Yarrowia lipolytica: one gene and its partners. The protein of the gene in region 3 purifies or fractionates together with the protein of the main gene of each other region. This does not show direct contact. Links are inferred from orthologs where the notes say so. Each region holds a gene or a part of one and is shown on either strand. Other genes may lie near its edges.

Region 1 (2,468 bases), about 1.3 Mb from region 3:
GCTCCCGTCGTTTGAGCTGCGGCTTGGCAGAGGCCGCGTCACGTGATCCCGAGGTGGTTTCCTTGCGGGCGATTTTTGGCAGGTAATTGTATGCTGGTCGTTTTGTTTCCGACGTTTCTTGCTTGGGATCGTTTCCGTCGGATTTGGTGGAGTCGGACTTGGTCTCGGGGGTTGCTGAGTCAGCAAGAAATTCACCGCCTGCGATTTCCGCGGCGTCTCGGGCGTCAGCTGACTCTCCTTCGGCCTGGTAGCAGTCGCGCGCTGGGTCGTACATTGTGTTCGGTGGTGTTTTGGATGTGCAGAAAAAGATGGTGATGGTGTAGTTGGTGGTTTAGAGTTTCCGAAAGTGGTGAGGGCTAAACATGGATAATTCTGGGGATACTGGGGCCAAAATTGATATTTTTAGGATCCTGGCGGTTCGAAAAATACAATGGTAACGAAATAATTGTGTTTTAGTGCCGTTTAAACGATGCATATGGATTAGGTAATGGGAGGTCGGATACGTGAACCTTAAACGAATTAGGGTTTTATTACCCTCGGCATTTTGGTGAAGTTTTGGATATGTAGATTTGGCTGAAAATTTGGATGGGAAGTGCTGGAAGCTGGCGGTGGTGGTGGATGCAATAATCATCAAATTTGGAGCATTATTGGGGGAGTTTTGGGGGTTGGGTTTTGTTAGCAGTTGTGTCTACTTTAAAGTGAATGGTTGGGATTTTTCACTGGACGAAATTTAAATAATAAAATAATAAAATAAAATAAAAAGAAATAAATGAAATGAACTAATAAAATACATAAAATGAAATGAACAGGAAATTAAATAAATGAACAGAAATAAATAAAATAAAATAAACTAAAATAAACTTAAACTAAACTAAACTAAAATAAAATAAAATAAAATAAAATAAAATAAAATAAAATAAAATAAAATAAAATAAAATAAAATTACTCAAGAAATAAAAAAATAAAAATTAAAAAACTAAAAAAATCTACAACTACAGAAACTCCCTCTCCCTCCTACACACCCAACAATCTCCTTCCAAAATTTGACCCTCATCCTTCTCATAACCTCTGCGGTGAATCTTTTTACATGTGTCATGCACGTCTAAAAAAAATCCCGTCCTACATCTACACACATACACGCACAAACATTTTGCGACCAGAATGAGCGGCTACGAGACTCTACCGCTGAAAATGCCCAAGGGCAACACGCACTATCTGTACATGAAGAAGGACGACAATTCTGCTGCGTCGGAGGACTCGACGATCTTTGTGTGCAATCTGCCTGCGGACTCGACTCTTTCTCACATCAAGGCCTTGTGTCAGAGTCTGGGGGGCAGCATTGTGGAGAGTTTTGAATGGGTGAATGTGAGTCGCAATGTGCGGGCCGAGTCGCTGACACATGGTCTTTCTGGCGGCTGCGGTCGTATTCACATGGTGGATGCGGCTTCTTGCAACCGGGTGTTGAGTCAGGCCAAGAAGAATGCTACATGTGGAGTCAAGTGGGACGCCAAGCTGACGATTGGCGGCAAGCAGCGATACCAGTTGCTATGGAAGTACTGTTTCCCTGCGCCCGACGATTTGCAGGCCGAGGTGGACTATTTCATGGAGGAGTTTGCGGCCCGAGAGGAGGAGGAGAAGAAGGTGGAGAAGACGGGCCGAACGGTGGTGGACGCCGACGGATTCACCACGGTGGTCAAGACGCAGAAAAAGAAGTCGTTGGCCATGCAGGAGGCCGCCAAGCAGCAAGCCGAGGAAATGAAGCTCGCTGAGATCAAGCGACGAGAGAAGCGGGAGAAGAAGGATTTCTACCGGTTCCAGATCCGAGAGTACAAGAAGGAGCAGATGACCGACATGCTGACCAAGTTCAAGGAGGATCAGGAGAAGGTCAAGCAGTACAAGGAGAGTGGGCGGTTCAACCCGTATTAGGGCGCAGTAAGAAGCACTTCAGACTGCGTTGAGAACCGCGTTCAGATAGCATTCAGACAGCCTCTGACAGCATTCAGACAGCCTCAGACAGAATTTCATTTTGACAGCCTCAGACAAGTGAGACGTCTAATCTGACGATTTGCTGCTCACTGAGAGCAGTTGATGGCCACTGCTTGCATGGTGTGGGTGGCTCAACCGCGGTACTACGACCACGGTACCACGAGGATACAAAAGACAACAGACAGTTATAGATAATGGATATTGGTTATGAAGCAGTGTAGATACAAGAGGGGAGTTCGAGGATGGAGACTCAGGACGAGGCAATGATGATCCAATGCGTATAGGAATACGCCGACGATGTTTCAGAGCTTGATCTTTGGTGTGACTCGGATCTGTTTCAAAATAGATCTCTCACCCACGGATTTAATCCGGTGTAACAGTGTGTATGAACACTGTTGCTCGTCTCACAGCGAGCGATAATGCTCCGAAAACAGCGGCTCAGGGTTCAACTGGTTTTTAAAAGCGGCCCGTTTGTGGCTGCC
Region 2 (2,108 bases), on a different chromosome or scaffold from region 3:
GAAGTCCAAGGCTTCGCTCGAGAAGCAGATGGCCGTTAAGGACTACGAGACCAAGGTGCGAGCCGACGTCCAGGAGTCTAACACCAAGCGATTTGAGGCTCTGACCGCCGAGATCGAGGGTCTCAACTCCATGGTTGAGGACTTCAAGAAGCTTTCTGCTTAGGTGGATCTTGTAAATCTCTACTGAATGAATAATGTGTATTGTATTGTATGAGAGTGTAAAGGTAGTGTGAGTAAATATACGTGTGTGCATTAATATGAACTTGTAGAAGTAACTAAGAGACAGCTGTTGTATTTGTATGATTGATACCAAAAAAGTACAGTACATCCATACTTGTACTTGTACGTTGGATTCGTTATACGTGTCTTTGATCCTACTTCAACATGTCGATCCTTCTATAGAAATCCTACAGGCTCCTGCCCTACTATGTATCATTCAAGTGTGTCATAAACTACAGTACATCCTGTCATCCGCCCATTATTACGTGTCTTTTCATGTCTATCCATTAATAGGTATAAATTACCGATGCATTACTCCTGCCCAGCATCAATTCGAAGGCCCTCCTTAACACCCTTCTCAATCCGCTCTCTCATATCCAGAGCCACGTCTTCACATGCACGTGCGGCCTGCTCAAGCACCTCAAACAGTTGGTTCTCGGTGAACTCACCTTCACTCTCACACATCAACAGACCCGTGGCCTTGTTGTTCTCCACGAAATACGAAACAGCATGTGTAGACGTCGACTGAGACACCTGTTTTCGAGTGGGATGCAAAATGAGCTTATCGTCGACAATGGCAATGGCGACTGCTGTAAAAAGACCAGTCATGGGCGTTCTGCTGTCAATCAATGCCAGACACATGGCGTTCAGACATGCCGCTAGCTTGAGCACGTTGTATCCGGTTCCTTCACCCTGTTCAAGAATCTGAATCACAATCTGAAGCAACATGCGAGGGTACAAGTTTCGCACCACTGTGGCGGCCAAAACACTGTAGATTCGATCCTTAATCAGTGTCTCCCGGGTTGTGGCCTGTCCAATAGCAGGACGAATCACCAGCTCCACCTGAGCTAGTGTAGGTTCATCTGTCCGTCGCCGAGTTTCTATGGGACCCGTGACCGAGCAAATCACACTTGTTCCTTGCTCCCATTTGGCAGATCCATCCACATTGTTCAAAATGTTCATTTTGTGTGTGTTTTTGTATGCTGGTGATGGTTAATGGCAATATGGCATCCTCGAAATATTTCTTGCATATGAACTTTATCAGAGAGGTGATGATGACTAAGTGGTGTCTGAAAATTGAATCGGGGCAAACCTCTATTATTCACGTGAGTTGTATTATTTGTTGTCTCATGTGGGTTCTTATGGGCCCTGGAATCTTTTAATCCGGTCCTTATGTCTGTAGGTGTATACTGATAGCTCTGAGAGAGAACGGTAGCGATGACAAGTACAAACCAGTACCTACAGCTGCAAGAACCGTGGTAGTAGCAACCTACTACAATTAGTAGCTACAATTGTAGTCCAAGTAATAGTTACAATATTAACCATTTTATAGCACTAAATGATAGTGACTCCAAAACAAAAGACAAGGGCTCCTGAGTAAGTGGCTCGATAGTGTTATTATGTAACTACTGTATTGTACAATATCGTTCTCACTGTAGCAATGTTCCACCCACGCTCCCCACTATACAACCACCGCCAAACCCTGACTAACGATGCCGCACGATTGGAGCAAGGGCTGGTTGATTTCTAACTGGAATAGGCTCGTATTTTTCAATAGAGGGATGATGCAAGGATGCGGTTGTGATGTTAGCTCAAAGTGCTTGTAACTGAATATGCTTTTGTATAAAGGAGAAAAATTGTTTGTAATTGTGAAGAGACTGGTTTGGTAACCAAAATCACCTTTTCAGATTATTTTTTCATCTACGTAAACCAACAATACAAGAGTCCACACCTATCTTCAATAGCCGACTCTTTCTGAGTGGAATTTTTCCGGTCGTAAACTCTAATTTTAGCTTGGTGCACGGGACTGGAAACGAGAGCCAACTGAAATCATTTAAACAATAACAAGAGAAGGAAGACACCAACCTACTGCTCACCACCCATGTCCA
Region 3 (3,220 bases):
TAGTTGATAACTACACACCAATATCAGTTACTTGAGTGAGACCACTGACTTGATAATAAAAACAGTCTAGATTCTTTACCAATCCATCAATTACCCATATCGCCAAGTGATTGGCCCCATACATTCTCAATCCATGAAATCTCATTTGTAGCCTGAATCCATGAAAATCCAAAGATCTCAGATTCGACCCAGAAGGACCAAAGAAGTCGATTATTACATTATTTCAACCACAATAAAACCATGTAAGAAGTCCATTTAACGAAAACTTGTCTCCATGTGGCTCAATCGGATTACACCCTTCGAACCATGTTGGTTTGAATAGCTACTTTTTGGTTGAAGTCGAAGGGTTTGAGGATGTAGGGCGAATAGGTTCCTTTGCGCTTTCTGGCACTCATATTTGTGCAATAAAATACGTCTTTTCCTCTCTTGTCGTTATGGTGCACCTCTAGTATCGTACTGTTGTACATTTTCACATCCATACTGTCTTTACACTAACTAAAACCCCACCGTGTACACGCAAACACCGCTAGCAACGCTCTATACCAATCAACCATCTCTAATTATGCTACATACATCTATTATAGTCCTTTTTCCGTTAGTTAAACCTCCATCTGCTCATCCACAATAGGTCGAGACTCGCCAGAAATCAATTCTCGTCGAATTTCAGGTGTAATCTTGGGATGGTTTTTGACCTTGATGACATCCAGAAGAGCGTCTCGCTGATCCTCCGTGATATCACTCTTGTATCGCTGGGCAAAGACCAGAAGGGACTGATGCCAGATGACGGGGAGAGCCTCTTCAACGTGAGCGAAACGCATGAAATGGAAGACCACGGCGTCAACGACTCGGTAGGGCAGAGCGTACTTCTTGTCGAGCAGCACCTTGATGAACAGAGAAGTGGGGCCGGAATAAGGCATCTCAGCCAGTCTCATGAGAGCAGCAGCAGAATGCAAAGTGGGGATAGAGACCTTGGACAGAATGGAGCTGACAATGATGGCCTCCTTGAGTGTGCATTGCTCAGCCAAAGGGAACAGGAAACCCTTGAAGAAGGCAGAAGGCTTATACAGAGCCTTCTTCAGGGATCGATAAACGTGGTAGTTTAGGGTCTTCTTCTCTTCAATCTCCTCCTTGAATCGCTCCAGCAGCACAATCTGGATGAACTTCTGGGCCTCCTTAGCCTGCTGGTTGGACACAAACATCTTTGTTCCTTCGTAGATTGCGTTGGGAGACCAGCTAGCAGGATCGGTCACGTACAGAACATCCTGCCAGTTTCGCAGCGTAGGCACAATCTTGAATGCCTTGGGCAGCTTTCCAGACTTGTATCGGCTCAGAAGCTCTCCGACCTTCTCGTAGACTGCAATGACCTTGGGTGGAAGCATGACTCCCTCTCCCTCCAAACCCTGGGAGGTTCCAGGGGCCTCTCCAGTTCGCTCAAACTGCTCCTCCTCTTCCTTCTCTCGAATCTTGGCCATGATCTTATCGGCCAGAGAAACAGGCTCGTCCTCATTGAAGTACTTCGCGTACAGAGCAGCATCCTCAGGGGTCATAAACTCCTGTTGCACATCCTCGTACTCCTCGTACTCCTCCTCATCCTCCTCCTCGTCTTCGTCCTCGAATTCCACATCGTCATCCTCGGGAAACTCCTCGCCTCGCTCCTCCTCATCCAGCTCTCGCTGCTGATCCCGTGCCATCTGCAGAATTCGTCGCGAAGTGGCCGAATCAATAAAATCCTCCTCTGCAGCATCGGTCTTCTTGGTGTTTCGGGAAGTCTTCTGCTTGGCGGATTCTCGAAGAAGTCCGCTGCCCTGGCTCATGTCGACATGAAGCGGGCTGTGTCGCACCTTGGCGTCTTTAGTATCAGCTTTTCCCATGGTTGTGCGGTGCGTGGTGTTGGTGATATGGTGGGATTAAAAAATATGCCAAACCGTATGCAGCATGCACAATTTTTTAACGTTCCAAAATAAGGTTGTCACGTGACACAAATCGAGGGGACTAAAATTTGGTGAAACGAGATTATATTCGTTTTGATCGGATTTTTGCAGAGAGAACGTTGGTGCGAATGGTATGAGAATTTTATGTATTCGCCACTATTCCGAGATTCAGAGTAACTATAGGGTTAGGATATAATCTTATTTATCAGTCCATAATGCCAGACGACGACAACCTGGAACTGATTATAGATTTCACGTTCGCCATTAAGATGCGCAAGATTTCTCATTATGGTGATTGCGATGGTGCTAGAAGTATGAATAGCTACTTATGAGTGAAATTCCAGTTCGACAGTTTATGGTGAACATTGGCTACTACAGTATGGACAGTATGTACTTCTATGTGTATACTCGATGTTCATGTTCCTGTTGCTTGACGTCATCATACCTCCACAACTAGCCGGAAACAGATTCACTTCTTTTTTTCTCATGCAATTGACTGAATACTGTACATATAATGCATTTTCACCAGAATTCCGAGTAACCAACTGCAAGTCAAAGGGGTACGAGTTGAACTGGGTTCACAGTTTTAACAGGGATAAGGGGTACTACTTGTACGATACTTGTAAACGGGTGAAATTTCAGAAACCTTAGCGAAGGAAAAATGGTAGTCAACAGAAAAGAGATTCGACTTTTCCTAATCCCTTTTAAACGGTCACGTGACTAAAATAACCAGCCCCATTGCTGCTCACCTTTGACTTTTCCTAATCCCTTTTAAACGGTCACGTGACTAAAATAACCAGCCCCATTGCTGCTCACCTTTGGGTCTCTTCCGAGCCGGCTAACGGTACATTCTCAACGGTTCGATAGAGTTTGCGAGTCAGCAACATGGAGGATGGCCGTATTGGATCCGGGAAGCTATTTTTCAGGGGTATGGAGTTGATAGACAGCTTCTAAGTGGTAGTATAGGTCTAATCACGTGACTTTCACGATCACATGGGGCGGCTGGAGCAGTTTTAAGCCCTTCTGTTGAGCTCATCGCATCATGCATTGCTTTTTAATTTTGGCTCTCCTCTTTCTTTTGAGTTCACTATATCAACAGCAACTACTGGGCTTGGCTTGGTTAAAAGGAGAGGCAGTGATTGAAAGCATTGGCAACTGTATCTCTTACGTCAGTCACTTCAGACACGCCTTTCTACACACACGCACGTTCACAGAGACACAACCACAGACACACACAGACTCACAGACACACATACAGAACAGACATAACACACGATGGTCTTACTACT

What was found.
Region 1: the proteins of YALI1_C05636g (region 3) and YALI1_C18892g purify together in Saccharomyces cerevisiae (affinity purification with mass spectrometry, with the first as the bait; 3 studies listed by BioGRID). This does not show direct contact. The link is inferred for Yarrowia lipolytica from reciprocal best matches to the Saccharomyces cerevisiae genes ENP1 and RRP7.
Region 2: the proteins of YALI1_C05636g (region 3) and YALI1_F26915g purify together in Saccharomyces cerevisiae (affinity purification with mass spectrometry, with the first as the bait; 3 studies listed by BioGRID). This does not show direct contact. The link is inferred for Yarrowia lipolytica from reciprocal best matches to the Saccharomyces cerevisiae genes ENP1 and RRP46.

The regions. Positions count from the first base shown.
Region 1 is NC_090772.1:1,887,985-1,890,452, reverse strand, and holds YALI1_C18892g (uncharacterized protein), read left to right. Parts: upstream 1-1,161; coding exon 1,162-1,926; downstream 1,927-2,468. Other genes in the region: YALI1_C18901g (uncharacterized protein), read right to left, coding at 1-274; YALI1_C18878g (uncharacterized protein), read left to right, coding at 2,406-2,468. UniProt on the Saccharomyces cerevisiae protein: Plays an important role in the synthesis of 18S rRNA but is not required for the 5.8S and 25S pathway. Is necessary for the cleavage at site A2. Is required for efficient association of RPS27 with the pre-ribosomal particle.
Region 2 is NC_090775.1:2,690,346-2,692,453, forward strand, and holds YALI1_F26915g (uncharacterized protein), read right to left. Parts: upstream 1,183-2,108; coding exon 532-1,182; downstream 1-531. Other genes in the region: YALI1_F26873g (uncharacterized protein), read left to right, coding at 1-163; YALI1_F26924g (uncharacterized protein), read left to right, coding at 2,102-2,108. UniProt on the Saccharomyces cerevisiae protein: Non-catalytic component of the RNA exosome complex which has 3'->5' exoribonuclease activity and participates in a multitude of cellular RNA processing and degradation events.
Region 3 is NC_090772.1:561,734-564,953, forward strand, and holds YALI1_C05636g (uncharacterized protein), read right to left. Parts: upstream 1,872-3,220; coding exon 600-1,871; downstream 1-599. Other genes in the region: YALI1_C05649g (uncharacterized protein), read left to right, coding at 3,207-3,220. UniProt on the Saccharomyces cerevisiae protein: Required for normal export of the pre-40S particles from the nucleus to the cytoplasm.